Linked DNA regions of Oreochromis niloticus. The main gene of each other region encodes a partner of the protein of the gene in region 3 in a complex. Links are inferred from orthologs where the notes say so. Each region holds a gene or a part of one and is shown on either strand. Other genes may lie near its edges.

What was found.
Region 1: snrnp200 (region 3) and snrpg share a complex: the UniProt entries of both Homo sapiens proteins name them as parts of the U4/U6-U5 tri-snRNP complex. The link is inferred for Oreochromis niloticus from reciprocal best matches to the Homo sapiens genes SNRNP200 and SNRPG.
Region 2: snrnp200 (region 3) and rnf113a share a complex: the UniProt entries of both Homo sapiens proteins name them as parts of the minor spliceosome. The link is inferred for Oreochromis niloticus from reciprocal best matches to the Homo sapiens genes SNRNP200 and RNF113A.

The regions. Positions count from the first base shown.
Region 1 is NC_031984.2:33,151,295-33,162,272, reverse strand, and holds snrpg (small nuclear ribonucleoprotein G), read right to left. Parts: upstream 4,903-10,978; 5' UTR 4,775-4,902; coding exon 4,743-4,774; intron 4,561-4,742; coding exon 4,538-4,560; intron 3,887-4,537; coding exon 3,762-3,886; intron 2,045-3,761; coding exon 1,994-2,044; 3' UTR 1,799-1,993; downstream 1-1,798. Other genes in the region: plpbp (pyridoxal phosphate homeostasis protein), read right to left, coding at 263-352; si:ch211-148l7.4 (zinc finger protein 43), read right to left, coding at 9,264-10,826. UniProt on the Homo sapiens protein: Plays a role in pre-mRNA splicing as a core component of the spliceosomal U1, U2, U4 and U5 small nuclear ribonucleoproteins (snRNPs), the building blocks of the spliceosome.
Region 2 is NC_031969.2:28,810,748-28,821,425, reverse strand, and holds the start of rnf113a (E3 ubiquitin-protein ligase RNF113A), read right to left. Parts: upstream 4,903-10,678; 5' UTR 4,851-4,902; coding exon 4,745-4,850; intron 4,331-4,744; coding exon 4,251-4,330; intron 593-4,250; coding exon 494-592; intron 234-493; coding exon 126-233; intron 1-125. Other genes in the region: rundc3aa (RUN domain-containing protein 3A), read left to right, coding at 5,967-6,073. UniProt on the Homo sapiens protein: Required for pre-mRNA splicing as component of the spliceosome. As a component of the minor spliceosome, involved in the splicing of U12-type introns in pre-mRNAs. E3 ubiquitin-protein ligase that catalyzes the transfer of ubiquitin onto target proteins.
Region 3 is NC_031977.2:12,273,230-12,283,800, forward strand, and holds the start of snrnp200 (U5 small nuclear ribonucleoprotein 200 kDa helicase), read left to right. Parts: upstream 1-4,194; coding exon 4,195-4,239; intron 4,240-4,456; coding exon 4,457-4,620; intron 4,621-5,508; coding exon 5,509-5,680; intron 5,681-5,778; coding exon 5,779-5,971; intron 5,972-6,067; coding exon 6,068-6,123; intron 6,124-6,204; coding exon 6,205-6,303; intron 6,304-6,411; coding exon 6,412-6,564; intron 6,565-6,654; coding exon 6,655-6,754; intron 6,755-6,841; coding exon 6,842-6,978; intron 6,979-7,058; coding exon 7,059-7,136; intron 7,137-7,254; coding exon 7,255-7,428; intron 7,429-7,560; coding exon 7,561-7,698; intron 7,699-7,788; coding exon 7,789-7,944; intron 7,945-8,035; coding exon 8,036-8,206; intron 8,207-8,290; coding exon 8,291-8,484; intron 8,485-8,590; coding exon 8,591-8,714; intron 8,715-9,488; coding exon 9,489-9,638; intron 9,639-9,738; coding exon 9,739-9,981; intron 9,982-10,075; coding exon 10,076-10,264; intron 10,265-10,358; coding exon 10,359-10,556; and 1 more. UniProt on the Homo sapiens protein: Catalyzes the ATP-dependent unwinding of U4/U6 RNA duplices, an essential step in the assembly of a catalytically active spliceosome. Plays a role in pre-mRNA splicing as a core component of precatalytic, catalytic and postcatalytic spliceosomal complexes.

The DNA.
Region 1 (10,978 bases), on a different chromosome or scaffold from region 3:
AACTGACAGACATCATCTGTACCCACTAACATGCAAACACAGCCAGAGTGCGTGTACCATGCTCCCCGCACGCACTGTCACGCTGCATGCATGGGGTGTTATAAAAGTGCTGCCGCAAGCCCGATTGTCTCCCATCCAAAGGTTGAAGTGTTTGGCAGCCTTACATAACGATTCGTGCTGCCGCAGCACGTTTTTCTCAGGGCCCCAAGAGAGGAGCGAAGGCAGCGGCGCTCCCGAGCGGAGCATCCCGGCCTGCAGTTACCTTAGGCCGCCGGGCAGCCGCCTGGTTCACCCGCTCCACTACCGACTGCAAAGCCTTGGCAACTTCCTCCGACATCGCTACTTTCCACATTCTGTTAAAACAGCTATGACACAGAACGTAAAGAAACGCGTCCGCACTGACGACACTCGGCTTTCAAAATAAAAGTCCACCTGAACGTGAAGTCAGTCGTCCGGAGTGCGCCCCCTGTCGACCCGCCGTCAGCATTTGGCAATTACGGAACTGAAACCCGAGTGAGAATTCCATTCAGGCTTCAGGCCAGGTATTTAACGTCCAGGAGAAAAAACTTTTTAAAGTCATATTTAGGAATAAGGTCAGCAAAATTGTCTTTTCCGGGTTTTTCTAGATGCAGTTTTTATGTGCTGCTGACATATAAAGGACAACAGTATCCAGAGGCATTTGTAGGCTGCTGCAGTCTGGGAGACTTGCTACTGAAAAGGAATGACATGTTTTTGTGTATGTACATACAACAAAAAGTTTTATTTCGATCATGTCCTGCATTAGAAACACGTCTAAAACAATACACCCACTTTATATATTTGTCATCACTTTATTTTAAATAACAAAATTGGATGAGCATAATTTTAGTCATTTCTTCATGTAGTCTTTAGTAGTTCTCTTAAAGGAGATGTTTACTGCTTTTTGTTCCATTCTCTGTCACCATGACCTGTTTCGCTTCCTTAAGGATGACTTGTTGACAGCCACCCTTCCACTCAGACCACTTCTAACGAGTCTTTGGTGAACAGTAAATGGGTCAGTAAAGGGCCTGTACCAGATCTCTGCTGGATTTTTCTCGTATTTCTTAAGGACATGACATTCAGATACAGTTTGCCTGCTGTAGCATTTTAGGCCTGCCACTCCTTTAATCCTTCACTTGTTTGTTTTTCCCCCCAAATTTTTAAGCACACACTTGACACAATCTTATGTCAAATATTCAGTTAACAGCTCTTTGGGAATCACGTCATTGGTGAAAAAAAACACTCTTACATCTGTTAGGCTATTATCTTTGTAGATTCTGAAGCAGCAGGAAGAAATTAAATTTTTTTTTTTAAAGGTAGTGACTAAGTGCATACCTAAATTCAAGATGGATTTGGTTTTCTCCTCTCTTTTTTTAAAAGCAGGCAGGTATAAATGAGCTCAGCAGCAGCCAATCTCCAAAGAAAAACTTTTAGCTTTTGAAGAGCTTCAGAAGGCCTAGAGAACTACTTAAAAACCACTTAAAATTTCCAAGAAAATCTGTCTCTTAGTGTGGAAAATGAGAAGAAATAAGGGGGTTGCACAGTATTTTATATCAGTCCAGCTGGACTCTTTTTTTTTTTTTTTTTGTTGCGCCGACCTCCAGTCACAATTTAATCCAGTGGAGAGAGTCTCTGTGGAAGTGTATAAGACACTCAGGAAACATTACCATCATATTTAGTGTGCAGCTTCTTCTGCCTGTTGCTATAGTAACACGTTGACAGTAACAGAACAGTAACTTGTATTGTGGTAATGTGATATAAACTGAATGCAGAAAACCAATTACAAAGAAAACTGATTTATTCACAAGGTCACACATTTTAAAAGTCCAAACAAAAAGACCGTATCTATCATCTCACAATTCAAATACAAATGCTTTGTCTCTTTACTGAGGAACAAGAAAGGGACAATAATGTAAAAAAACAAAACAAAAAAACAAAATGTAGGGATCATTTTCTTCAGGTGCCTCCTCCACTCTCATACTCTCTCCAAGGCCTCGAGCATGATGATGCTGTTTCCCCTGATGACCTGTGAGAAACAATACCACACAGAGTAAACACACTGCCATCATGACAAATGTCCTAAAGGTTTTAAATAAAGCACTGAGCTCTCCAAATCTAAACAGAATTTAGTATCTTGTTTATAGAAGGTAAAGCAAACCGCTTTTCTTGACATTTTAAACCTAAATTATACTGAACAGCTGAGCACTCATTCCTGTTGTTTGTAGTTCATGGGCTGGGGAGAATGTTTACTTAGTGCATTATAAAGTAAGTAAACATTACAAAAAGCAGGCAGGCACAAACTGCCCTAACCATCTCATGATGAAATTTATATCAGTGGGACCTGAGTGGACCCTACTGGACTCGGTGACGGTATAATTCCTGCTTCAAACACAGAATGATTTTGAAATAAATGAAAATGATTTCGTGGAGCAAACAGCAGCAGATGCAGGTATAACTAATAAATAATGTATGGTCTGTGTACACAATTCCACAAGTGTGCTATCGTGCAGTCCACCAAACAGCCCCAACAGCATGTCACTGGATGTTGATGACACATGTGTCGGTCAATAGCTCATTGGTTGACAAGTGGGCCAGAACAGGGGAGGGCGCGATTGTGGAGTTCAGCGGGAAATGGTATGACACAAATATGAAAGGGAAAAAAATACAGCATGAAAAGTACAGAGTGTGACTGCAGTGGACACTTTTCGTTGTTTTTGAAAACACTGTTCACTTCAACTTGAGAACAATTGAGAACTTTATACTTGGAACAACAACAGCACATGCAAGTGTGGCCCACACACAGGTTGTAATACATATTTGTTACACTCCATCAACAACAAACACTCTCTGCAGGCAGACTGTGATTGCCCAGGAACTGCGTTCATGCTACTACTGCTCAAGTATAAAACAAGCATAACAATCTGACGCTGTTCAGGTCATGGTTAATGTTACAAAGGACGAAATACTAATAGCACATGATATGCAACCAAAATGTACAGAAATGACTCCACCAATTCTCTTTGCAAATGGTGGATGGAAATTACTAACATGATGGAAAAGCAGAGCTTTAATCAGGCACAAAATATTTATTTTATTTTGTGACGATTGTGCAGATTTCTTTTTTTGCTTTTTTTTTTTTTTTTGCTGAAACAGAGTGTGACAAAAATGCAAAGGTTTCATGTGCAAAATATAAATTTTATTAATATAAATGGCCTGTATTTGTATAGCGCTTTACTTAGTCCCTATGGACCCCAAAGCGCTTTACACTACATTCAGTCATCCACCCATTCACACACTGGTGATGGCAAGCTACATTGTAGCCACAGCTGCCCTGGGGCGCACTGACAGAGGCGAGGCTGCTGGACACTGGCGCCACCAGGCCCTCTGACCACCACCAGTAGGCAACGGGTGAAGTGTCTTGCCCAAGGACACAATGACCGAGACTGCCGGAGCCGGGGCTCGAACCGGCAACCTTCCGATTACAAGACGAACTGCCAACTCTTGAGCTATGATCGCCCCCTACCAGGAAAGATTGGGCTGTTAATGAGAGCTCTTTACTGTGTGTTTAGACTGTGGCAAATATGAAGTCTGACACCATCATAACCAGAACTCTCTGGTAAATATACGGGCTGTAGTTGAGAGGAGAGCAGACTGCTGGAAGATAAAAATTGCTGTGCTTATATTAGGCGCACAAATTTTCTTTGGTGACAATACCAAAAATTAAGAAAGACAAATTTACTGACCACCATGCCAATGGTGTTCTGCTGTCCTCCAGGGCCCATCTCCAGACAGTCATCCACCACCAGGTTCATAAAAGGGTCGAACCCACGCAGGATGCCCTGTACGTGTCTGCCTCCATTCAACTTTACTGAAAGGAGAGAAAAGAAATCAATATGAAGAATTTCACAAACTGCTCAGTTTATTTATTTTTGGGACTGATCCATCTTCAAACTCAAAGTTTAGATTGCCCACATACTACCACGAATATTTACATACAGCAAAGTAAGACATCCATATATTTATGCTATCACATAACCTAACTTTTGAGTCCACATCTGTGAAAGGTACTTGACTTACCCAGTGTTGTAACCGAGGGTTACAACAAGCTTAATTTCAAACTTTTAAAGACCATAAAGACATCTCACAATTATAGTATACTGTCAATGAAAGTCAGTAGGGATGATAAGACCTGTGCAAGTTATACAATATATCAACATCTGCATTTCTAGCAGTACTTCCCAGCAACACAACACGCTGCGCGTATTAAAATAAATGTCCCCCCATGTGTGCTGCCTGCACTACATGTCTACCCTTTGTTATGAGATCCTGTACAAACAGTGAGCAGAGGTCATCGAAGAAGGCTTTGTGTACCAGGTGAAAACTGAAAGGTAATTACTGAAATTATTCAATAACTATGTTTTGATATTTCATGCTGTTGCTTAAAAACAACGAAACACAGGAACAGATTCACTCTTAACATTCTGGGTGCTTTTGAATCTGTGCTTGGAGTCATACTCACATGAAAGCTTCTTGTCCATGAACCTGGAAAAGAAAACCATCAGCATCGGTTACATGGTCACAGTTTCTTCACAAGTCGGTCTGGCAGCCTAGCTAATGTTAGCTTGTGGCTATTACAAACAATGTACCAGAGCTGCTATGCGGGAAACAAGAAACAGGTACAAAATAACCAGTGCGCGTTTATTTATCAAAGATCACTGACTTACTTCTTCAGCTCGGGTGGGTGTGCTTTGCTCATTTTATCTGTATTTTCTGAAAGTCGAAGAACTCGTTCGCACTCTTTTCGTTTCACGAAACCGCGGAAGGAAAGCGTGCGCCGACAACCGGAACTTCATTGGTGAACTCTCATACTGGACCTTCTGCTTTTTCCTCACAGCGCCGCCATGAGAACAGGAGGAAGGAGAGCCGGCTAGCTTTGAATTATATATATTAGTGGAAGAAATATTCAAATCATTTATTTAAATGCAAATATGTTGTGTATTCAGAGATGCTGTTCTGCATACCTTGGTTGTAACAAGTGGTAATTTGAGTTACTGTTACAGTCTGGCCTGATGAAGCACGACAACAAAGCATTTTCACCCAGAGAATTTTTTTTTTTCACTTACTGGATGTTTTCTCTTTTTTAGACCATTCTTTGTAAAACCTCGTTTATGGGTGGGTGAGGAAAATCCAGTGGATGAGCAGTTGTTTTGGTTTTTTTGCTATAAGACCAGGGGACCGTTCTTCGTACCTCGCTAAGTAAGTTAGCCGGATTTGATTGTTGACGATTTCGCGTGATCTTGGATCGTTCGGTTCTCCGAAGCTCATCTGGGACTTGCTGTCATAGCAACAGATCCGTAAGCGTAAACCTGCTCGGGAGCAGGTTTACTTTATGTAAACAGGATTAGATCGCGGCCACTCAGGTATGTCCGCTGCATGTACACGAAAGCAACAGCGATATTTCACCACTGTTTCTCCATAAATAAATATTATCAATGTAACTAAAGATAATGCAGTAGTTGATTCTTTTACTGATTGCATACAGATACATACAGGTCATTTCCTAAGAAAAAGGGAAATGTACTAGTAATCATTCTATTACACGTATTTGATTATTTCAGATGTAATTCGTATTTTAGAGTAGTAATAGTAAATTACTTCGTGTAATCAAGATGAGAGACCACGGCTATAAAAGCGAAGGTGGATTTGGGAAGTCTGTCGCAGCCATGTCCTGTCTGTTTGTACGCGAGCAACCCATTGCGGAAGGTGCAAGATTGATAAGGAGAGTTTCCAGAATTCAGCGTATATTGCGGGATTGACAGGATCCGTCCTGTCCTTCCTCTCTCTCTCTCTCTCTCTCTCCCTATATACATATGTATACATATATGTATACATATATGTATATGTATATGTATATATATATATATATATATATATATATATGTATACATATGTATACATATATGTGTATATATATATATATATATATATATATGTGTATATATATATATACACACACACACACACACACACACACACACACACACGAGGGGGTGCAGGACCACCACCTGTCTTTATTTGCTCTGCCCTTTTCTTGGTTGCTGTTATAAACAAACAAACAGATTATTTCAGGGTCTCTTTTCAAGAGACTAAAAGCAATATAAGTGATAACTATTACCATTCTGTAGAATATTCTTATATTTCACTTTTACTTGTCCCCATGTTCTAGTGGGTCCTGTTGTGGCTCTAATGTGAAAGAGGATATAATGTAATATGATATAATAAATTATTTACGAGTTTAATTTGTCAGCAACTTTCTGCCAGCCCTCTCTCCTTGCTTTTGCAGCCTTTGCGGTGTTCCCTTGCGTTTTAATTAAACTCTGAAACTCCTGATATCCCTCAATCAAGAGTTCTTGCTCTGCTGCCGTAAAATACTGAGCGCGCGCCTTCGACATCTTCGCCGACCAATCAAAGGGTTGCCGATCAATGTTTCTACTATCGATGCGTAGCCCCTTTTGAGACACCCAGTGATCTCGCATTACTTCATCCAGCTATACTGATCGTCAACAACAGGTGTGTTCGGAGAACCGGATTAGCGAGCTCAAGGTTAGCGCGATGATTTGATCTTGGATGTGTCATTTGATCTTGGATGTAGTAAGCGAGGTACGAAGAACGGGCCCCAGGTGGGCCCAATGAGAACTATTATTTGTTGACAAACACAATGGGATATCCACTATCCATACCAAAGATCTAACTATGTGTTTGGCTATTATTTGAGGTTCAGCTGCTGGTGTAGTTTTTGTTTGAAAAAAACTACACCAGCTTTGTGTGAAAAAGTTTTTGTAACTTTAAAATTAATAGTTAGTTATGCCAATAATTAATATGAATTCATTGTCAAAGCTAACAACCGAATAAACAGTATATTTACTGCACATTTAATAATTTGAGGAAAATCATATTAGTGTAATTTATTGTTTTAATAATGAATCCAGTGTACATTATTGCATTTTATAACACTATTTTATTGTTCCTGCTTTAAGAGAAATGTGTAAGATTCATGGCCATTAGTTGTTACACTGTTGACTATGTTCAGAATACAAATGGAAGAGCTTTTAGCTGCGACCTGCAACTTCAATAATAATTTATATTATCTGAACCTAGAAACTAGCTAAAAGTCATTAAAAATAAATGTACATACATTTCCTCTTGCTAATTTCAACAGTTACCCATTAACTCTGCTGTATAGCTGCGGTAGAGCACGCAGTCAGTTTGAAACTGCGGTTTAGCTGCTCTGGAACAAACTTCTCAGATCCACAGTATGAAAAACTTCAATTAAATCACTAAAATTTCACAGAATCAGAACAGCAGCAGTGATGCAAAGAAAACATCTGACAACTGTTAAATTTTATTTGTCATCTGCAAAGAGCCATACACACCAATTTACAAAAGACCTCAGCAAAGTAGAAACTTCGAAACCTAGAAACATATCTTCTACATGTTCACAGTCGCATTTTGAAAACAGTAGTTGAAAATACTTTAGAAAAACAAAACAAAAAATTCATGTTGATTTAAGTTCATTCACCAAAGCGCACTTATTGAGCATCGCAGACACACTGAAGGGCTGCCGTCAGTCCATCTGTTTGCATAGTTAGAAAATACGACCCGAGCTCATGCAAGCTAAAAAGCAGGGCCATTATGAAAGGCATTGTTTTGGGTAAAGTTATCCATGAAAGCCAAGTTTGCTCACTGTATAGTTTACTGCAATCTTTCTTCCATGATAAAAATATTGGGAAACAGCATGTAAACAAACAATGTTACACACTACAATCTCATGCAGACCCTGGGACTGCATTTTATCTCTCGAGCAAAGAAATAAACTTCCACCCAGTGCTCTAAGTAGTGCTGCTAACACTCAGGTTTGACACACAAGACTGACAACACGACAAAATCAGACACCACAATCGATGAATAATTATTGCCAAATTTGTAAGAAAATACAGCAGAAAACATAACAAAAACTAGACAAGTAGCAAACAATTTGTCAGGCAGTGTTCTGGCCAGAATGTACCACAGTTGAGCAGACGGCCTAATTTCTCAAAAGAACAAAAAAAAACAAAAAAACAAAACAAACCCTGAGGCAAAGATAAGCTTAGCCCCACTTTGAGCATGCGAGCTAATCCCAACGTGTTTTTGGAAAATGGGGTTGATTTGAAATGAACAGCCCAAACTCTAAGCACTGCGAAGGTTATCCAAGGTCCAGGAACCTTTACACAGCTGATCTTCACCGTAGTAACAGCCATTTTCAGCTGCTCCCTTCTCACAAGGGATCGCCACAGTGGGTGACTCCACATGTTTGACTGGCAGAGTTTTATGCTCTTTTTATGGCCTCCCTAACACAACCCCAAAGGGGTTTTGTGTATCTGGCTGGAATTAAACCAGCCCAGTTGTTGCCAAGTGGTGAGACTATCTTCCAGGATCATAAGCTACCATTCTTAATTAAAAAAAAAAAAAGCAGACAATTTGTGGAATTTACCTAGTCTTTACAAGTTTTTATATCACAGAGTTGTATAAAAGTGGATACACAGACAACCACTGGTCTGAAAGAGGGATTCCTGGGTATAAAGGTTTGAATACTTTGAGTGGATCAAATGAATCATAATCAAACTGTTCTGGCTTCTATAGTTTTCAATGTATTAGAGTGAAAATTTGCAGACAACAACAGTCCTTCACAGTAAAAATGTTAGCTTTATGTTCAATTTCATATCATCAATATTGCCGTAATAAAGCCGAGGCTCATCTTAAAGGCTGCTGCTAAACACATATTCTGTGTATTTCTTCTTTGTTGCATTTCACTACAATGAAACTTATTAATGCATAGCTGCTCTGCAAGACGCATCTGAGAAGATGTCCTGTTCTCAGATGTACAAACACTGATTAAACCTCCCTTTAAAGGCTGATGTGATGGATCTTAGACAAACTGATATTCACACTGTGCTTTTCAATGTGTCTTGCAGGAGAAAATAAAATTCATGTTAAAGGGCTAAATAAAAGCTCAATAAGACATTCTTTTTAACTGTTGATATGGTTTGGATAACAAAGCCCGAGCTTGGGTACAAAAGCAACATATTCTGAATGCTCAATCAGTGAACTCGTGACTCAACAAGAATTTCACAGAGATTTCATCACTCCTCTTTGTGTAACCCTTCAAGGCAAAAAGGCGGGTTGCTGACGACATTCACACTGACACGTCAGGCTTTGCCGGCTTGATGCGTGTAGCCCTCTGTCAAGCTGTCCTCCTCCACCCTGACTCGCAGGTGCTCTTGACAGTGTTCTAGGAAAGAGTCAAGTGCAGAGAACCCCTGCTGGCAGGGCACGCAGTGGTACAGCCTCTGCCTCCTGGAGCCTGGCCATTTGCACGTGTCCATCTCGGTGGTGCACACGCTGCACTGTCTCCTCTTCATGGAGGTTTGGTGGAGCTCCATGTGCTCCTTCAGCTGTTGCTGCAGAGAGAAAACCTCTGCACAGGAGGGGCACGGGAAATCTCTCTCCACCTCCTCCTCCTGAGCTTCAGGCACTTCTGTGGATCTCCCTGAAACACCTATCTTGGTCAACCGTCGAGTGACTTTCCTGGGTCTCCCTGGGCCAGCCCTGACTGTCTTAATCTCAGCGAGGCTGGTTTTGGCTTTATTTGGTCTGTTTTCTGATAGTTTGGAGGAGTCTTTGGTGGTACATCCTATAGTCTTGCTTTTGTTTTTGATAGCCGCCAAGCTCAAGGCTGTATGCTGTCTGTAGTGTGCCCTAAGCGATAAATGGTGGACAAAGACTTTTCCGCAGACCTGACAGGGATACGTGCCTGCTTTCCTCCGCTTGATGACAACTGGCCTCGGCTCTCTCCTGACATTCTTCTCTCTACTGTGCTTTTCTTTTCTGTGCACGTACAGTTTAGAGGTGCTCCTGAAAACCATGTCACAGGAGCGGCAGCTCAGCAGCTTTTTTTGAGATTTTGAACTCTTGCTTGGCTCCTCATTTACCTTAGCACTCCTTCTTTTCCTCACTTCCCCATCGGTGGCCTTTTGCTCATCCTCTGAGTGGTTGGCCTGTTTATGGCGTTGCAGTGCAGCCTCTGAGTGGAAGATTCTTGAGCAGAGTTGGCACGTGTTGATAGCTTGGCCACTGGGCCCTGGAGTATCTGAAGAATCAGAGCGAATGGAATCCCCCTCAGAAACAGGTGAAGAGTCATCAGGGAGTGTGCTGGCATCAGCTATATCAGACAGGGATGGCAGCTCATTGCAGCCGGCCTGTTGGTGCTGCAGCAGAGCCTGCTTCTGGCTGAAACCTCTCCCACATGGGGCACACGCATATGGGCTGCGGTCCATGTGATGAGGCTGGCGGTGAAGTGGCTTGTCCAGCGACCTGCCAGGATCAGAAGTGTGAGTCGTGCATGTAGAGCAGGGGGAACCAAAAAGTGACATCCCATGACAAAGCTCGCAGCGGGTGGACTCGCACTTGTGTAGCTGTAAGGATGACCTCAGGGAGAACTCCTGGCCACACGAAGGGCACCGGTGAGGCTTGGGCAGTGTGTGTTCAACTTCCTGGTGTTGTAACAGATCTGTGGCATAAGGAAAGGCGTTACCACATTCTTGACACAGATAGGTGGGCTGCTGGGGCGGACGCTGCCTCTGGGTTCGTGTGTGCTGTTTTGTCTCTGCCTTTGCGATAAAGGTGGCAAGCCTTGACAGAGTGTCTGCGGCTGAGCTGGAGCGACCGAATGACTCCTGGGACCTTGCAGTGCTCCAGCTGACTCCATCCATCCTCCTTCACCAAGCTTTCTCCTGGCTTTAATGGAGACACAAGAGGTTTGAGCAGCTAGCCTTTAATTCACTCAGACACAAGAGCTAAAAGGTTGAGGCACTGAGAAGTGTTTTGGTTGTACGCTAAATGGCACCACGCCTGCAGTCAACAG
Region 2 (10,678 bases), on a different chromosome or scaffold from region 3:
TTTTTTTAATTTTAGCATTCAAGTCACAATTTGTGAATATGAACAGAACAGCCAACTAAGTCATTATATGATAGGAGTTGTAGCCTTTTCTACAAAGCTTTAACATTAAAAATAGCATCTACTACCTCTTGGATTTTCTGACTCCTTTCAAAAATGGCCTGGGCATCATTGTCTTTCTCTGTGTCCAGCTGATATGTAGCAGTTGCACCCATGTCCTCCGGTCCCTCTGGTTTCTTGTTTTTGGATAGGATTGGGAAAAAGGTTTACATTTAATACGTTTATATAAGCACATCAATAAGTTTGCAAGACTGTGGCTCTTAAGCAGTATACAGGACAGGGAACACACACACACAAGGCAAATCAGAAGAGGCCAAATCAGCATGCATACAGATGAAACAACAAAAAGGTTGGATACCTTGCTCATTCATATCCCTGGCTTTATTTTTAAAGGACAGCCTTTAAAAAATCAGTATGATAGAAAAAGTCAACTCACCGCTGATCGTGTGGACTTGTAGGAAACAGTCACCTTCTTGTCTTCTTTCTCGTCTTCACTTTCACTGGATGATACAGCATCTCTCTCCACTTTCTTTGTCTGGACAAAAAACCCAAAACAAAAACAGTCAGAAGACCCTTATGAAGAGAATATCGAGGGAACAGTTTACCCTGCCCGGGATAGGGTTACCGGGGCCCCGCCCTGGAGCCAGGCCCGGGGAGGGTGCCCGAGGGCGAGCGTCTGGTGGCCGGGCCTTAGTCCATGGGGCCCGGCCGGGCACAGCCCGAAGAGGAGACATGGGCCCATCCTCCCGCAGGCCCACCACCCGCAGGAGGCGCCATAGGGGTCGGGTGCATTGTGTGCTGGGCGGCGGCCAGGAGCGGAGGCCCTGGCGGACTGATCCCCGGCTGCCAAGACTGGCAATAGGGACATGGAATGTCACCTCTCTGGTGGGGAAGGAGCCTGAGTTAGTGCGTGAGGTTGAGAGGTACCGGCTAGATATAGTCGGGCTCACCTCTACGCATGGCTTGGGCTCTGGAACCAGTCTCCTGGAGAGGGGCTGGACTCTGTCTCAGTCTGGAGTTGCCGCTGGTGAGAGGCGGCGGGCTGGGGTGGGTATTCTAATATCCCCTCGGCTTGCTGCCGGTACGTTGGGGTTTTTCCCGGTGGATGAGAGGGTTTGTTCCCTGTGCCTTAGGGTCGGGGAACGGGTCCTGACTGTCATCTGCGCTTATGCGCCGAGTGGCAGTTCAGAGTACCCAGCCTTCTTAGAGTCCCTGGGGGGGGTGCTGGAAGGTGCCCCATCTGGAGACTCTGTTGTCCTGCTGGGAGACTTCAATGCTCAAGTGGGTAACAACAGCGAGACCTGGAGGGGCGTGATTGGGAGGAACGGCCTCCCTGATCTGAATCCGAGCGGTGTTTTGTTATTGGACTTCTGTGCAAATCACAGTTTGGCCATAACGAACACCTTGTTCGAACATAAGAGTGTCCATAAGTGCACGTGGCACCAGGACGCTCTAGGCCGCAGGTCGATGATCGATTTTGTAATCGTATCACCAGACCTGCGACCATATGTTCTGGACACTCGGGTAAAGAGAGGGGCTGAGCTGTCAACTGATCACCACCTGGTGGTGAGTTGGATCAGGTGGCGGGGGAGGACGCTGGACAGACCCGGTGCACCTAAACGCGTAGTGAGGGTGTGCTGGGAACGTCTAGCAGAGGCCCCAGTCCGCGAGATCTTCAACGCACACCTCCGGCAGAGCTTCAACAGCATTCCGAGGGAGACTGGGGACATTGAGTCCGAATGGACCATGTTCAGCGTCTCCATCGCCGAAGCTGCTGCATTGAGCTGCGGCCGCAAGGTGGTTGGTGCCTGCCGTGGTGGTAATCCCCGAACCAAATGGTGGACACCAGAGGTGAAGGGAGCCACCAGGCTGAAGAAGGAGTCCTATCAGGCTTGGTTAGCCTGTGGGACTCCGGAGGCAGCCGACAGGTATCGATAGGCCAAGCGGAATGCGGCTCGGGCAGTGGCTGAAGCAAAAACTCGGGTGTGGGAGGAGTTCGGAGAGGCCATGGAAAAAGACTTTCGGACTGCCTCGAAGAGATTCTGGCAAACCGTCAGGCGTCTCAGGAGGGGAAAGCGGTGCTCTACCTGCACTGTGTATAGTGCTGGCGGAGCGCTGCTGACATCGACTGAGAAAATTGTCAGGCGGTGGAAGGAATACTTCGAGGACCTCCTTAATCCCACTGACATGTCTTCCGAGGAGGAAGCAGAGTCTGGGGATGAGGGGAATGACCCGCCAATTTCCGGGGGCGAGGTCACTGAGGCAGTTAAACAACTCCTTGGTGGCAGAGCCCCTGGTGTTGATGAGGTCCGCCCCGAGTTCCTGAAGGCTCTGGACGTTGTAGGGCTGTCCTGGTTGACACGCCTCTACAATGTTGCGTGGAGATCAGGGGCAGTACCCCTGGATTGGCAGACCGGGGTGGTGGTCCCCATCTTTAAGAAGGGAGACCGGAGGGTGTGTTCCAACTACAGGGGGATCACACTCCTCAGCCTCCCTGGGAAAGTCTATGCCAGGGTGCTGGAAAGGAGAGTTCGTCCGCTAGTCGAACCTCGGATACAGGAGGAACAATGCGGTTTTCGTCCTGGTCGCGGAACACTGGACCAGCTCTTTATCCTCTCAAGGATACTTGAGGGTGCATGGGAGTTTGCCCAACCAGTCTACATGTGTTTTGTGGACTTGGAGAAGGCATTCGACCGTGTCCCTCGGGGTGTCCTGTGGGAGGTGTTGCGGGAGTATGGGGTGTCTGGCCCATTGCTACGGGCCATTCGATCCCTATACAACCGTTGCAAGAGTTTGGTTCGCATTGCCGGCAATAAGTCGGACTCGTTCCCGGTGGGTGATGGGCTCCGCCAGGGCTGCCCTTTGTCACCGGTTCTGTTCATAATTTTTATGGACAGGATTTCTAGGCGCAGCCAAGTGGCGGAGGGCTTTCGCTTCGGTGGCCTCAGAATCTCATCTCTGCTTTTTGCGGATGATGTGGTTCTGTTGGCTTCATCAGGTGAAGGCCTTCAGCTCGCACTGGAACGGTTCGCCGCCGAGTGTGAAGCAGCGGGAATGAGGATCAGCACCTCCAAATCTGAGGCCATGGTTCTCAGCCGGAAAAGGGTGGAGTGCCCACTCCGGGTCGGGGATGAGTTCCTGCCCCAAGTGGAGGAGTTCAAGTATCTCGGGGTCTTGTTCGCGAGTGATGGGAGAAGGGAGCCGGAGATCGACAGACGGATTGGTGCTGCGGCTGCAGTGATGCGGACGCTGCACCGGTCCATCGTGGTGAAGAGGGAGCTGAGTGTAAAAGCGAAGCTCTCAATTTACCGGTCGATCTACGTCCCTACCCTCACCTATGGCCACGAGCTGTGGGTAGTGACCGAAAGAACGAGATCGCGGATACAAGCGGCAGAAATGAGCTTCCTCCGAAGGGTGGCTGGCCTCTCCCTTAGAGATAGGGTGAGAAGTTCGGCCATCCGGGAGGGGCTCAGAGTAGAGCTGCTGCTCCTCCACATCGAAAGGAGCCAGTTGAGGTGGTTCGGGCATCTGATAGGGATGCCTTCTGGGGGGCCTCCTGGGTGAGGTGTTCCGGGCATGTCCCACCGGGAGGAGGCCCCGGGGCAGACCCAGGACACGCTGGAGAGATTATATCTCTCGGCTGGCCTGGGAACGCCTTGGTGTTCCCCCGGATAAGCTGGAGGAGGTGGCTGGGGAGAGGGAGGTCTGGACTTCTCTGCTTAGGCTGCTGCCCCCGCGACCCGGCCTCGGATAAAGCGGATGAAGATGGATGGATGGATGGATGGACAAAAACAGTCACCTCTGTCTCATTTGAGGCTACTGTCATAGCAGTCTTGTCTGCAAATGTGTGTTTGCATGATTAGATTTATAAACTTTTTCAAAAATATCAGGTTTGCAAGTGTATAAAACCCTTTGTCCATATTCTAAATGTAAAAAAAAAAAAAAAAAATCTATATATGCATTAACATAACACACTTTTAAATACTTTAGTACTCTTGTGAATCTAAATGCAGATTTAGACTTTTGCAAATCTGACTATGCCAGCTGATTCTGGATACATACTTGCCATTTCCAGTGCACGTTGAGGTACACAGTGATTAAGACAGAAAAACGCAATTTTCGACAAACACATGTTAAAAAATATAAATATACAAAAATTTAAAAAATTTAAAAAAACAACAACCCATAATTACCCTCTGAATCATCGGGTTGATGCGAGTTTTTTTCTTTTCTTTTCTCACTACGAGGGTCTGGTCCTCATCACTGTTTTCATCTGAAAAGGACATGAGTGAGATACATTTGGTGAAAAAAAATCTAGTAACTTGTCTAATAACTGACAGCAGAATTGCAAAATCTTAGAATAATCTCGGAGTTAACTGGGAGGACAAGAAACAGCAGGCGCATATAGCGTTCCAAATTCCGAGGAAACGTAAACGCGGCACGAATGTGAAATTTGTTTATAACAGGAACAAAAATGTATCATCTGCGGTACTTCCTTTACATCGTTTCTCCGATTTTTGGAATCAGATGTAGTATTTTTGCCTCTTACCGTGTTAATAACACAGTGGTTATCTGTAAAGGACTACGAGAACAGAAACAAGTAGTCGATCATTAAAAAGCTCGAGCGCTGTCGACACCGGAAGTTCACTGGGCTTTAAATGATCAGAAAGTGAGTTAAATAACAAACCTTTCTCGCTATCGGTTGCTTTTCTCTTTCGCCCAGAGAATTTCCTATTAGATTTTTTAAACAGAAAAGTACAAGATCCCTCCCGAGGCTTCTCTGATTCCGCCATCTTGACTCTGTTTTGTAAATATCTGCTTTCGCCACAGCACCCTCTAGTGTCTAGGAGTCATCTTAAGTTAGTCCCTGTACTGGTCAAAAGGAGAATCACACCTACTTAGGCATTGTGAAGTTAGATTTAAAAAGGCAGCAGTGATACTTCAGTGAGAAAGTGGCTGCAATTTTTGCGAGCCAGTTAATCAAAAGTTGCTCAATGATATTTACTTATTTCATATTTAAAAATAATTCATGAGAATTTAAGTTATGTCTTGGAAATCGTTATAACTCTATGAAGTGCTGTAAAGTTTTTAGAGCTGTGCCAAAACACATTCGTCTGCCAAAAGGGGAATTTAGATACTTGTCAAAAAGTTTTAATTATTTAAACTGTTTTAAATGACTTGTTGGTCTATAATCTATCAAACATATTGCAAAAGTATCTGACCAGACACAAGGTAGAAGCTGCAGGCAGTAATTGGCTAAGTTACTCTTAGATAGTGACTTCCTTTATTTTTCCAGGTAAAAAGTCTAATTGATATTAAAAAGTCTAATTGGTGTTAAAAAATATCTTTTTATAAACATGTTTGGTCAAAGAGGGCTTTAGAAATTCAGACAAATGTAAAAGAACGGTTCTACAAAAGATATTTTAAGCAGCAAAAAAGGACTGGATTGATTATAATGCAGGACACAGAGTAGCTACAATAACGCTGAGTCGAGATACTTGCAAAAAAGGTAATTTCTTTATTTCATATTTAGCCCTTTGAAAATTCTGTTGACCCCAGCCTATCTACCAATGTAAGCCAAGATATAACACATACAAACACATAAAAACATCAGCAATCACTTTTTTTTTGCCTGACACCGGAAGACTGGAAATTCTAGTATGAATGAATCTGTGATGAAAACTGGAAGATAGTTTTATTTTGAAAGTTTTAACCGGAAGTTGCAGTGATAAATACGTGTAACTTGGTTCTAGTCGCTTAGATCCCGTCCTCCTCCTCTTCCAGCAGCGACTGTAGCAGCATCCGTGACTCCCCGCAGAGGACGGCGGGTGTTTGTAGGACTCAGGGCCCACGGAGGGAGAGGTCCTGGCCTGGGCACGAATCCCGAAGAGGCCCGGGGCCGCCGCTGGATGGAGTCGGGCTGTATTCAGACAGCAATGGCTATGGGTCTGACATCGAAAAAGGCGTCTGCTCGGAGCGTCTGCGTGGAGCGAAAAAACCTCATCACGGTCTGCAGGTATACATCACGACACCATCGACGTGCCGTATTTATCAGAAGGAGCCTGTCCTTGCAAGCTGTTCGGGTTATATTTTCACCAGTATGATCATGATCAAGGTTTGTTTTTTTTCCATCCAAGAAGCCCACCCCTGCGCTCATTCCCAAAGTGAAACAATGGCAGCAATATAAATGGAAAATATTACAGAAAAAAGGGCCACATTTCTAGAAAGGCGAGGGTTAAGGAGGGGGCAGGTGCGTGTTCACCTTCACGTACCTTCTGTCATCACACCCAGTTTGATAGAGACAGTAGACTTAAAGAAACCACTCAATTATCCAGTGTTTGTTTTTAAATGCTCGTTTACTGCTTGCGGGGCTTCTTTTTCTTTCTTTTTTTGCTATGATGTAAATCTATTAATTCTGTCTGTCGTTTAAAAGTACAGTCCCCTGCGTGTTTGTTTCTATAGCAGGAAATGCAGCTTCAAGTGATTCAAGTGATGAGTGTTGCAAAATCAATTGCAGAATAGGGATGAAGGGAAGATAAGCCAGTCAGCAGCAGGTCTCCTCCTCCATCATGGTGAGCTTCAGTGCCTGAATTGGACAAGGGCATTTGGGGCAGTGCAAGGACTCCTCCCCACATCAGGGGCCCTCCATCCTTCTCCATCCACCATCCACGCACTACAGAGATGGCCTCTGACTGATTGGCTCTAATAAATCACTGTCTTCTGCAGTGAGGTTAGCACTGTAAATGTGTGAGCTGACAGCTCACACAACGAGAGCTCTTCAGCTGCACAGTAAGTCCAGTTTTATACAATAATGTAACACCCTCCTGGTTCCAGTCTGCACATTATTACATCACGTGTGATATTTAGAGCTTTAACAGCTTCCATCCTTTTTGACCAGAGGCTCTAATTTGCATGCTTCCACATGAGACCAATGTTTATATTCATATAGAAACAATAAATATAGAAAGACTATTAAAAATAGCCCAGAAATCTTTTTTTTCTTTTCTCTTTTCTCAGCACTTCATGACCTCCTTGCATTAATTTTGTAACCTTTCAAATTAGGCATCCCTGATGTAAAAGGGACTCTGCTCATTTCACTGAAGGCTAATTAACTTTTCGACCGTGTTATCACAAGTTCTCAGAGGCCTAGGTGCTTTTTTCTCAAACGTCTTTTGCACAAATAATCATCACATCCCAAAGATAGAAAACCTAATACTGTATACATCTAGAAAAATGCCACAAATATCCACATCTCAGGTGGTTTTTTTGCCTTAAAATAACTTGAACTACCCATTTTGTAAAAAATGCTGCTGATTATTTTCCTTTGTCTGACATAACTAGGTTATAGTGACCTTATCCTACTTTAGAGTATTTGATAATTATGTGATATCCACAGACTGGCAGGAAAATGCTGCTTTGATCATGTTGTTGTGTTCTCATAAAATTTATTATAGTACTACTCCTCATCTTGAATTGCAAATTGACTATAATCATAAAAAGCGTTCACAAAAGTGGCATCCAGCGTCTAAGCTCTGCTGTATTTCTTGTAATTTATTGCACCGTAGTGCTAGAAACCACCAATCAAAACAGAAAGGGACTCCAACATGGATTCACAGTCAAGCATTTTTATTCCAGTACCTTTATATCCAAGGTCCTGCCTGCGTTTTAGTGGCATGTACAGTGAGGCAAAAACACACAACATCACAGAGAGCATGCCTGCAAAGAAAGAAAACTTCTCACAGTGGACACAGACAAGGATTAGCAGGGACACAAAAACACCTTTGTTTTCAGTTTCTCCTGGCTGTGCTAAGACAGATTTAATCATTTAAGCGTTTTAAAGACAAACAAACTGGACAAGACAGAAATAAATCTCAAACAGCTTTCCACCAGTAATGCTGACTACAACAACTTTTCTCCATTTTCTAATGAACAACATGACATTGATTAGGTTCACTTCGAGGGCAGTTTCTTCTTGGCGTGTCCGAGTTGCTGCCCGATCTCCCCGCTCATGGTGTTTTGGATCTTTACATGTTGTTCAGGTCAGAGCTGATTCACAGGCTGCTCGCTGATCGGATAATGAGGAGAGAGCCTGAATCAGCACCGTCCCTCTGGCTGTGCATTAGTGCAGGCAGGGCATCGTGTTGCACGATCCGGGATCCAGGCTCTGTCGCGGTTGTTGAGATGCAGCCATTCCCACAGCTGAGTTTGTGACATTAGTGCTTGATTAGTTCACCAGGCCAAGCTATTATTTACCCTAAGTGTGTTTGTGTGCATTTACTGCATATATAAAGTCTGCCCTCTTTTTTTTTTCTTACTGCAACATCATACATGTTTAACATACAGTCAGCACACGCAGAGATTAACATTTCTACTCCCAACAATTCCTTTAATGTGTTGGCATCAAAGTCCCGGTTAAAAGTGTGTACAGTTGATCTGGTATGATGTGGGTCACGAGTACCAGCCACAGAAATCTGACTGATCTTTGCTCGGTGTTTCAGTGTCATACCTAACAGACCAATCCTATTTTAATGAGACGTGCTGTATCTACAGAGAAAAGAATGGACAAAAAAAGAATAACAACAGAGAAAAATAATAAGAGATGGCTATTCTAAATAGTAAGTAAGAAGAATGCTCCTTCTTTTTAGGTTAGGGGGACTTTTGAATTGCCAGACATCCCAAAAAGTATCTGAAAACCCAAAAATCTTTTTAGGGCCACGTTGAGACTTGATATTTATGACATCCACAGTGGTATCAGTATCATACTGAGCTGGACTGTTGTCAGTAGCAACAGGGTTCATCTAAATGTGGCTTTTTGCAGCAAGTGGAGGACATTCGTGCAACTCTCGGATTAACGTTGTTTATCTGAGCTCAGTTTGACAAAACGTTTGGGGATCAGAGGAAGCAAACCAACCAGCTTGTGTTGGTTTGTTTTTAAGGGCGCTTTCCATCCATTAATGTTTAAAATTGAATGTTTTGCTGCTTTTTTTAGTCTGGCTAAGAGCTCTCTTGCTGCGGTCCGTGACAGGAGAAACGGTGCTGCTGTGGACATGGTGAACCTGAGAAAAAAATAGATAAGATGAGTGAGACAAGTCTGATGTAAAGAGGTATCCATGCAGCCGCTTCCTGTAAACAAAGAGAGCTGGGAGAGAGGCAAGAAGGGAGGGCGATGTGCTGCATGTTGGCTGAGCTCTGAGGCCTTCCGGGGCGTGGCTCAAGAGAAGAGAATAAAATGTTCTGGACTGTAGTAAAGCACGCCTGTTAGACGTGCTTCGGCAAGAGAGTCAACGAATATTTGAAGCTGCGTGTGCAGATGGAGTAACACTAATTTTAATCGTTCAGCTTCTGTGCAGCCTTCTTTTGCATTTTTCCTGATTTCTGAACCTACGCTTTTTTCTTTCTTTTTTTTTTTTACCAACACCATCAAGTATTTGAAATTACAGCAGAAATGTCTAAAAGTTTGGCTGAACACTTGGATGCCACTCATCAGCTGATCTGTCTACCCCTCTCACTGTTAACTTCTCCTGTTATTCCTCATTTTTACCCCTCTGTCATACTCAAATATCTGATTCACACTCTCGGTGCTTCTGTGCTCAACACCCTCACTGTCCGTCGTACGCCGTGATCCCTCTACACCTCCTCTGACCATGAAACACTTCCTGGACACTTGGTCACAGAGGGGATCGGTGAAAGAGAGACACACCCTGCTGTAGTTGTTTTTTTTGTGTGTGGTTTTTGTTTTACTTTTTTTTTGTCATTGAGGATTTGGCCCAAATTGTGATTTGAAATATTCTTCAGAGCACAAAGCCTTTTCTTTCTCATGCCAGTCCAGTGCAGGACGCCTCCCCCGACAGTCCACGATGATAAACAGCACTGGCTGGCGTTGTGCAATGCTTCGGCCAGTGAGGAGTTCACCTGTGTCATCTGATCCTGCTGGTTATGCCAAGGCTAGAAGACAGAGACAGAAATAAGAAGACAGAGAAAGAGAAAGTAGTCAGGGAAATGCTTGTGAGGGAAAAGAAACAAAAATGAAAGTCAAGAGAGTTAATGTGAAGCTTTGTGTGTTTAGGTTAGATGTCTTCGCTGATGAATGCAGTTTTGGTTATCCCGTGTCGTGCTGCGGATCAAACGCAAGTTTGTAAGTACAGTAGAGGGGTGAGAAAGGAGAACAAGAGGGCATTTAACAAGAGCTGAGAGTGGGCTTGGCATTGATCCAGGCTGAGAGGTTGCACAAAAGAAGCTTGTCAGAAGGCCCTGCAGTTGTTTTTCAGTGTCAAATCGTACCAAGAACATGTTGCTATTCCACTCCATCCATTTGCATTTGAAGCATGCCAGAGATTCCCTTTAGATCAAAGGACTTCAGTTCATTTACAATCATCTGCTATAATGTTCCTGTTAAGATAACGTTGCTCTCGCATTATTAGGTCAAACAGGATTTTTGCAGTTGTTGATATTTTGTTGTTATGATTTTAATTGCTGTAACTTTTGCTAATGAGAAGCTGTTACATGTTGGTTCGTATACTGAGCGCCCAGACCCACTGCTTGGGTTTCCATGGCATCTAGGCTCTGCACAGTGAGAAAAGATTTGATGTGATGCATTTTTCTGACTTGGAAGCATCACAAA
Region 3 (10,571 bases):
TGTAGCCAGATGTGCAAAGGCAATGGAAGTTATATGGGGCCACAAACAGGAACATACAGTACTCTCCTCTTTAAAGACAACAATCCAATCCAACTTTATTTATAGAGCACTTTAAAAACAACATGGTTGACCAAAGTACTTTCCAGTAAAAAACAACAACAGTGAAACTAAAGTCAAGTTCATCTTACTCCTTTTCTTTTCACACACTTTCTACAATAAATCCTGTTTGATCCTTGCAGCTCGTGTTGGGTCAAGATAACAACTTACATTGAATGGACACATAAGCACATATGAGACATCCACTCACTACCCTTTTTACATCCATAACTGTGGAATATTCTCATACACAGCAAAATGATATACATATATTGGGAACTTAGGTGTTTGAGGGGACTGTGATAGAGTTGTCTGACAAGTCAACGTGTCGTGGAGAAAGACAACTGCTCTCACTGCTGCCATCTGGGTGTGAGAGCTGTGTAAGTGCAACCCATTTACCACACATTTTCAAAGCACTCGTTTACCCGATATGAATCACACACCATTATTACATCATACCAAAACACATGTTTATGACTAACATGTACATAACAGTTGAATAAATGCTTTTATTGGCAAATGAGTCAAGTGCTTCAGGGAAAAGTAGTGAAATCAGCAAAAAAAAAAAGAAGAGAGAATCTTTTAAAAAAACAGCTTATTTTTTTTCATCAAAAACTGAACAGTGTGTTTAAAAAAAATTGTATTAGGGCACTAAAAGCTTTACAAATATGTGGCTGTACAGTTAAAATGCATGTATGTCATGTATAAAAACAGATTTTAGAAGAATATTGGTGGTTGATGGAAAAAAATGTTATGTGGGATGATAATAACCTCAGAGGTACCTGAAAATCCAACCTGGACAGCTCTTCATTAATCATTGTCATACCTACACGGAATTGTAATTTTTTTATATTTTTAAATATTAAATTTTGGATGTTGTAGCTCACAGACTGTGGCCCACGCTGCTAATCATAGAGTTCACAGTGCAGCTTATATTGTCCACAATGAGGCTCATCTTTCTCATTTAGCAATTTTAATTTAGATCAAAATGACAGTCAAAGACTAACATATGAGTTCCTGAAGAAAAGTTCTTGTACATGCTTCTTTTTGCACTTCATAAATCTGACGTTTATTTACACCAAGAAATAATTGATCTCACACTGTTCAAGGTAAATGGTAAAATGGCCTGTATTTGTATAGCGCTTTACACAACCAGTCATCCACCCATTCGCGCACACACTGGTGATGGCAAGCTGCATTGTAGCCACAGCCACCCTGGGGCGCACTGACAGAGGCGAGGCTGCCGGACACTGGCGCCACCGGGCCCTCTGACCACCACCAGTAGGCAACGGGTGAAGTGTCTTGCCCAACGACACAACGACCGAGACTGTCCAAGCCAGGGCTCGAACCGGCAACCTTCCGATTACAAGGCGAACTCCCAACTCTTAAGCCACCGCCCCAAGGTGCAGAACGACTACTCTTTAGAGTGGAGTGAACCCAAAGGACATCCACACTTTAACCCCACTCTTTACAGTGGTGTCTCCTGTGTGGGGTTCAAAGCTTTATCTTGCATCAGCTCGTCATGCAGCTTAGAAGATAATGTACATGGGGGAAATAATTATGTGATCCTCTCCTGAATTTGTAAGTTTGTTCATTTATGAACAGTCTCTAATTTTTGTTGTAGCTTCGTTTTCAATTTTTTTAGATGAGAAGTAGACACAAATCCCAAATCAAACATGGACTTATCCATTGTGAAATTTGTTCACACACTTGCTCTCTGATGGATGCATAAGGGGGAACTCAGGGTTCAGTATCTTGCCCAAGGATGCTTTGACATGCAGACTGGAGGAGGCAGGGAATCGATCCGGCAGTTGCCCTGCTCTAATTCCTGAACCACAGCCACCCTCACTTGCCCCCTATTTGTGGAGCTACACGCTGTGTTGCCCTCTGTGAATAAAAATGAAATACAGCATAACACACAGGACTAGAGATGTCCCAATCCTGGATCTATAATATATGTAATCTATGATGTTTAAAGAAACAATTTAGTGAAAGCAAATACTGATATGAATCAATCACATTTTTTTTATAATTTCCTTTCCCCTATTTTGTGCCAGGGAAACAAAGAAGTTTTAATTTAATAAAACTGCCTTGTCTGTTTAAAAGTCTGTTGGCTCCTTGTCACTGTCATTGAACACTTAGCCACTGCCAAATTGATGTGACCAAACAAATAAACATCAGCCAGTGCCACAGGAAAGTGTCTCATCTGCAGATTGGTCTACAGCTAAGTTTGGCTGGTATAGTGATTCCACAGATAACTTTATGCAGACTTTCAGCATGTACAGTAGTATGGTATTTATCAATGGGCTATTACATTAAGTAGTACTATACTGTGCAAGTGATGGTACAGATGTCTACTATGGTAAATCAGCATACTGTATCTGATACACAATAGCAGTAATAATAATAATAATTACTTTTAGTTTTAGTAGTGATAGTGACAGGGGCATTATTTTTAGTAGTATTAACACTACATGGCTGCTGTGTAAGTCCTGAAGACACTACAGGATGGCAAGTTTTGTTGTTCTTATGAAATTATTCCAATTTTACATAATGTAAGCATGATAGACAATATAATGAAGTTAGCACAAAAAGTGTGTTTGTCTCTTTGTTGTTACAATGCGTCTTAGCAATAACTCATATCAGTAGAAGGCCTGTTTATTTCTCCTTAAATGGTGCCACATTTGTAAGGAAAATGTATTTGTGGGTTGAGCATCAGAGTTGAGCATGTGGGTTGCACCCATGAAAAACTTGCCAAATCTTCTCCGCCAGTGCCAAACAATGTACTCTGTTGTGGGATGGTGTCTCATTCTTCAACCAGCATCTGTTGCAAGTTAGGCGATTGTGGTTGTGTTGGTCATTTTGGCATGAAGAGAGCACCCAAAGCTGATCCCACAAGTGTTCAATGGGGCTGATATCAGGACTGCAGGCAGGCCATTCCATCCTCTCCACTCCCAAATTCTCGAGGCAATCTCTGATAATGGCATGGGTTGTCATCTTGGAGGATAGAGTTTGATCCCAGACTGTGGAGATATGGGATTGCCACTGGTTGCGTAATCTCATCTTAATATCTCTATGATGATTGCCTCTATGATGATAGGTCTGTTACGCTATGGTGCAGAAATGAGCATAGCATTCTCTTTAAATTTATGATCCAAGTGGCATAGGCAGAATCTGGACTCATCGCTGAAGAGAACATTCCTCCACGTGTCGCTGACAACAGGCCTGACGGTGAAGGGCAGTCATGGCATCCTCCTGGCAGCACTATGAGACCAGAGATTGCCTGTCTTCTGATTTTCTGGGTAAAGTGTTGTCAACCATATTGTCCTGCAAACCATGACTGCAAATCTAAAGAATAGCGCCAACAGTTCCTAAGTGCTACAACAAAATTGTCTTGTGCCGTTGTCTTCTTCAGATGCCCATTTCTTTGCCTGTCTCTGACATGCTCCATTATATGGAACTTGGCCTTCAATTTGGAGATGGTACAAGGGCTCACTCCAGATAATGCTACAACTGGGACACCAGCTTAAAGTTGCTCTATGGCACAGGCCCTATCCAGATCAGTCAAATGTGCCATGCTTGGAGCAGACACCAACTGACCGCTGTAACAGGGTCCATGCTCACAGGTGCTGCTAATCAGGGTCTAATTGTCAACACCTGATTCTGGGGTACCAGAAGCTAAAAAAAAGAGTCAGTAGCAGAATAAGCCGCTAGCAGAGGAGATTTGGCGAGTTTACATAAGTTTATATACCCATGAATACATTGACATAACAATAGGACATTGAAACTAAATAAATCCAACCTGTAGGGGGCGCTGCTCCTTTGCATCGATGATCCTGCTCTGACCTTTGACAGCGGAAGAGGAAAAGCGCGGCTTGTTGTGCGCTCGTGTTAGCGGCGCTATTGTAACGTATGCGAAACGCATTTTGTTGTATGAAACTCGGACTTTTCGAAAACTGGCTAATGCTACAAGTGTAATCAGTGCACTCATGTTCACAGCGTCTCTTTAAGCAGGCAGAGTGAGGTCGACTCTGTGGATATTAACAGTCAGTTAGCCGTTTCACAAAGTGCGCTAAAACCTGAGGGAAAACCAGCACCATGGCGGATGTTACTGCTCGAAGCTTGCAGTACGAGTACAAAGCGGTGAGTGTGTTTAGAGTGAGACAAAAAAATAAAAAATCAGAGGCAGGGATTGTTATTCTGTAAAGTTATCAGGAAAAGTGTTTGGTGTGTACTGTTATTAATTGATATTTATCCTTGTTTAGCTAGCCGTACTGCTAACTAGCATTTACTTCAGCCTGTTGCAGCGCAGACTGATGTACTGTCTCATCATCACACTGTTTTTATGCCGAACTCTTAGAACTCTAACTTGGTGCTTCAAGCCGATCGCTCTCTGATCGACCGCACCCGGAGAGATGAGCCCACCGGTGAGGTGTTGTCCTTGGTCGGGAAGCTGGAGGGGACCAAGATGGGTGACAAGGCCCAGAGGACCAAACCTCAGAGGCTGGAGGAGAGACGAGAAAAGTCAGTGCAGACAGCTACATATATTGTTCATGTGAACTTAAAGCAATACATAATTTATATACACTACCGGCCACTCTGATGTTCCTGTTCCCCTTGTCATTAATGCAAATGTGCAATAGCTAATTACATGCCAGCAACTCAGTGCATTTAAGCATTTAGGCATGGTCAATCTGCATATCAGAATGAACAAGAAAGGTGGGTTGACTTTGATCATGTCTGAGTATGCAGAAAAGCATCTCTGAATGCACAACATAAATGGATGGTAGTATTTGGGATAAGCAACATGAATGCAAGAAGGCAGGATAGACTGCTGGTGGTCTAATAGTGTAGGGGATCTTTTTGTTTAAGCATCCCATTATGATTCCAGTGTACCCCTCATCTGACAGCTGTTTATAGCAGGATAACGCACTATGTCACAAAGCTCAAATAGTCTTAAACTGGTTTCTTAAACATGTCAGTCCAATAGAGCACCTCTGGGATGTGGAGGAACAGGAGATTTGCATTATGGATGACGTGCAGTTGTCAAATCTGCAGCTACTGTGCGATGCTGTCATGTCAGTGTGGCCCCAACTCTCTGAGAAATATAGGCTTTAACTCGTCGAATCTATGGTTTGAAGGCAAAACCGGTTGATTTAAAAAAAGAACAAAATAATCCGGTATTAAAAATCACTTCATTAGTTCCACGTGATAACTTAATTTTGAAAAACTGAAAATAAAAGTATGGGGAAGAACAGCTGTCAAGTTTGATGTCTCTTCAAGGCAATTCTCAAGAAAAAAAGAAAAAGTGAACATATGTGACATGCCTTGGAAGATGTTTGCCACTCAAATGGCCAAACATGGCTCTACTGTTAACATATCATCTTTTATTTTTTTTTATTTTTTATCCAGGAGAAGAAAAAGGGATGAAGACAGACACGACATTAACAAAATGAAGGGCTTTACCCTTCTGTCTGAAGGCATTGATGAGATGGTGGGCATTGTGTACAAACCAAAAACCAAAGAGACCAGAGAAACATATGAGGTGTTACTGAGCTTCATCCATGCTGCTTTGGGAGATCAGGTCAGTGAACGCCACAACAGCTGCTTTCTTGAAGTATTCTGCTTCTGTTTCCGCTACATCTTGCATGTTTTACTCATTATCTCATTACGTTTTTACAGCCGCGTGATATTCTCTGTGGAGCAGCTGATGAAGTTCTGGCTGTGCTCAAGAATGACAAAATGAGAGACAAAGAGAGGCGACGGGAAGTAGAGCAGCTTCTCGGACCTGCTGATGACACGCGCTACCACGTCTTAGTCAATCTGGGCAAAAAGATCACAGACTATGGGGGGGACAAAGACTTGCAGAATATGGGTAGGCACATTCAGAGTAACTGTTGAATGAAAACTGTACAGGATCCATCAGTTTTCTCTAAAAATATTCATTATGTGTGGTATTTTTTATCCACAGATGACAACATTGATGAAACGTATGGTGTCAATGTTCAGTTTGAGTCTGATGAGGAGGTGAGGCTTGTAGCTCTTAAGATTTACAGCTGAGCTGATTGATTAGTTTGTGTCACTGACTTTTCCTGTCTTAACATACAGGAAGTTGATGAAGACCAGTATGGCGAGGTACGAGATGAACACTCCGATGAAGACAGTGAAGGAGTGGAGGCAGCTGTGGATTCCACTCTCTCAGCTAATGTAAGTTTCCATTCGTGGCATTACTCTATTAAGCCCATATTTGTGTTTAGTCTTTGTGAGATATTGCAACTGTGCTGCACAGTAACTAATAAATTACCTTTCACTTAGCTCGGTGGTGCGGGTGACGTGATGACAGTGAAGAAAAAAGATTTACATCCTCGAGACATCGACGCCTTTTGGCTCCAGCGTCAGCTCAGCCGGTTCTATGATGACGCCATCGTCTCACAAAAAAAGGCAGATGAGGTCTTAGAAATCCTCAAGGTAGGTTTGTGACGTTCCCTGTGTTTTTGTTTGTTTAGAGCAGGTAAGTTTGTATTTGTCAACATCATTCTCTCGTCTCTTATTTTACAGACTGCCAGCGACGACAGAGAGTGTGAGAACCAGCTGGTGTTGCTCCTCGGCTTTAACACCTTTGATTTCATTAAAATCCTGCGTCAGCATCGTCGCATGAGTAAGTCTGCTTTGTTGAGTGAAACTGTTACAGAGCTAATGTCTTTGAAAAGGTACTGATTTCTTTCTCTTCTCCCTTGACACACAGTTCAGTACTGTACCATGCTGGCAAGTGCTCAGAGTGAGGCGGAAAAGGAGCGCATCATAGGAAAGATGGAGTCTGATCAGGAGCTGTCAAAGATTCTCTACCAGTTGCAAGAGACGGAGAAGGAGGATATTATTCGAGTAAGGAGGCTTGATTGTGAGATTATGTGAACTCTTTGTGAGGCTCAGTTTGTCACATTATTTATTTTTACGTCCTTTAGGAAGAGCGGTCTCGCAGGGAGAGAGTGAGGAAGTCCCGTGTCGATGACTTGGAAGCAATGGACATAGACCATGGAGAGGTATATAACACTTTCAATATATTAACTACAAATCATCCTGTCAGGAACACTACTTGTTGTGAGTTTTCTTTTACACATTTCTAAACTGCATAGGAAAATTGTCCTTTCTGTCTGACAGTCAGTGACCCCTCGACAGCTGCTAGACCTTGACGACCTGGCTTTCAGTCAGGGGAGCCATTTCATGGCCAACAAGCGTTGCCAGCTGCCAGACGGCTCTTTTCGTAAACAGCGCAAGGGCTATGAAGAAGTCCACGTACCTGCCCTCAAACCTAAACCCTTTGCTGAAGATGAGGTTTGTCAGTTATGTTTCTTCATGGGAACATTTTAATTGTCCAAATGTGCAGCAGCTAAGGAAAAAATAATAGTAATAAGTAGCATATAACTGTGTTCAGGTCCTACAGTCAGCACTATTTTGTGTCATCAGGTACTTGTTCCCATTGAGAAGTTGCCCAAGTACGCCCAGGCTGGATTTGAAGGCTTTAAAACCCTGAATCGCATTCAGAGCAAGCTGTTCAAGACCACCATGGAGACAGATGAGAACCTGCTAGTGTGTGCTCCAACGGTGAGCACGCTTTGTTAAAGCCAGAAAGCATTTCAATACTTTCCCCCAGCTGGATTTTCTCTTATGAGTTTGTGTTTGTTGTGCACACAGGGAGCCGGTAAGACCAATGTCGCTCTGATGGCAATGCTGAGAGAAATTGGAAAGCACATCAACATTGATGGAACAATTAATGTGGACGACTTCAAAATCATCTACATAGCCCCCATGCGCTCTCTAGTACAGGAGATGGTGGGAAGTTTTAGTAAGGTGAGCCTCGTCTGTCCTGCACAGCTTTCTTTGCATACTTGACAACCATCAGGGAGCACAAATCTGAAAACCTTTTTCCTCCTTTTCCCAGCGTTTGGCAAGTTATGGCATCATAGTGTCCGAGCTGACGGGAGACCACCAGCTCTGTAAAGAGGAGATTAACGCCACTCAGATCATTGTCTGCACCCCAGAGAAATGGGACATCATCACTCGTAAAGGTGGTGAACGTACCTACACCCAGCTAGTGCGCCTCATTATCATAGTAAGTGCACAGTTTTGTCACTAAAAAGCAAATGTGCCAGTTGACTTGACTTTTAATGATGAATAATTTAATGTGGGTGTTCAGGATGAAATCCATCTGTTGCACGATGACCGTGGTCCTGTGCTGGAATCTCTGGTGGCGAGGACCATCCGCAACGTGGAGCTGACCCAGGAGGATGTGCGCCTGCTGGGCCTCAGTGCCACACTGCCAAACTATGAAGACGTGGCTACCTGCCTGCGTGTTGATCCTGCCAAAGGGCTCTTCTACTTTGACAACAGGTGTGCTGCTTAAGCAAAAAAAAAAGACGTTTTTATGATGATTTCTATGAACAGCTGTTTGTTTGCTCTTCCTTATTGCTTATTGCTGTACGGCTTTTCTCTGTAGTTTCCGTCCCGTGCCCCTGGAGCAGACTTATGTTGGTATCACAGAGAAGAAGGCCATCAAGCGTTTCCAGATCATGAATGAGATTGTCTATGAAAAGATTATGGAGCATGCTGGAAAGAACCAGGTGAGTCCTGTTTGACTTGTTCTTCCAAAGTGATATAATTCGGTGACCTGAATTAGCCTAGCGTTATCTAAGATGTGTCTGCTAAAATATGTTTTACTGCCAGCTGAGCTGTGTAAATGCTAATGACATTTTAATTAGACACCTCTTCTATTTTTTTTTCCTATTCATTTATTTATTTATGTATTTTTGCTGGATAAGCACAAAATGAGATTTTTGAAACCGGGGACTCCTAACACTGTTTTCTCAGTCACAGTCTGCACTTCGCCTCGATCATATAATCCTCTTCTGCAAGAAAACCACAACTCCTGTTATTGGTTTTTTATCATTTTTGCCCTCCAGTGAAAAACAAGATATTTGACATTGTGCTGCTTTCATTGTTGTTACTATGTGGCTTATGTTATAATTTGATCCCTAAAAAGCGACAGTTCACTCACTGTTAATATCAACATAAAGGAAAGAGGCGAAGCCCAACAAAATATCAAGAGGAAATAAATGTCCAGGTTTCCATAGATAAACCTGCAGGTTACTACTCTCTGTAACTCTCCTCTGTGGCTCCCAGAGCTGGAGGGTCGAGGTCCCTCTAAACCCGGGCCTCCTGTCAACCCTGTGTCCATGCAGACCTTTCCAGTGTGTACGTGCTCTTGTGTGTTTATACACAGGGAACTCACAGGGCTGAGTTTTTGAATGTAACTTCTTACTTCAGTGTTGTTTCTCTGAAAAATCTACAGCACTGCGTTACCAAATCTGAAAGCCTTACTTTTTTCCTCCCAACAGGTTCTAGTGTTTGTCCATTCCAGGAAGGAGACTGGGAAAACTGCCAGGGCCATAAGGGACATGTGCCTGGAGAAGGACACTCTGGGTCTTTTCCTCCGAGAGGGTTCTGCATCTACTGAAGTGTTGAGAACTGAGGCGGAGCAGTGCAAGGTGAGCAAATGTCATTAAACTGGAAACATTTTTTAAAACTCTTGTGTGGTAAATGCTTTTAATACCACAACTGAATGCTAAATTTAACCTTCTTATGCAGAACCTAGAGCTGAAGGATTTGCTCCCATACGGCTTTGCAATCCACCACGCTGGTATGACCAGAGTCGACCGTACGCTGGTGGAGGATTTGTTTGCCGATCGACACATCCAGGTTCTGGTGTCTACAGCTACTTTGGCTTGGGGTGTCAATTTGCCTGCACATACTGTCATCATCAAAGGGACACAAGTGTACAGCCCAGAGAAAGGCAGATGGACTGAACTGGGTGCCCTGGACATTTTACAGGTCAGCCCATCCTTTCTTGTTACCAAACATAGTAAGGTCTGCTTTAGTTTGTAGCTTTACTAACTCTATTTATTGAAAATGTGTTTGATTCCAGATGCTTGGTCGAGCTGGCCGTCCTCAGTATGACACCAAAGGAGAGGGAATCCTGATCACGTCCCACGGAGAGCTGCAGTATTATCTGTCCCTGCTGAACCAGCAGCTGCCCATTGAGAGTCAGATGGTGGGCAAGCTGGCTGACATGCTCAATGCAGAGATAGTACTGGGAAATGTGCAGAATGTAAAGGTTAGTGACCTGAAATGTACATGCAGCTATTTAAGACAGAAGGATCAAATTTTCCTCGTTTCTTTAAGTTTCGATTTCTCAAATTTGCCATTAGGATGCTGTGAACTGGCTTGGCTACACGTATCTCTATGTGCGCATGCTTCGCAACCCCACCCTGTATGGTGTTTCTCACGACGACCGAAGTACAGACCCCCTGCTGGAGCGGCGCAGGATGGACTTGGTGCACACAGCAGCCAACATCCTGGACAAGAACAGCCTCATCAAATATGACAAGAGGACCGGCAGCTTCCAGGTATGCAAGTCTCAG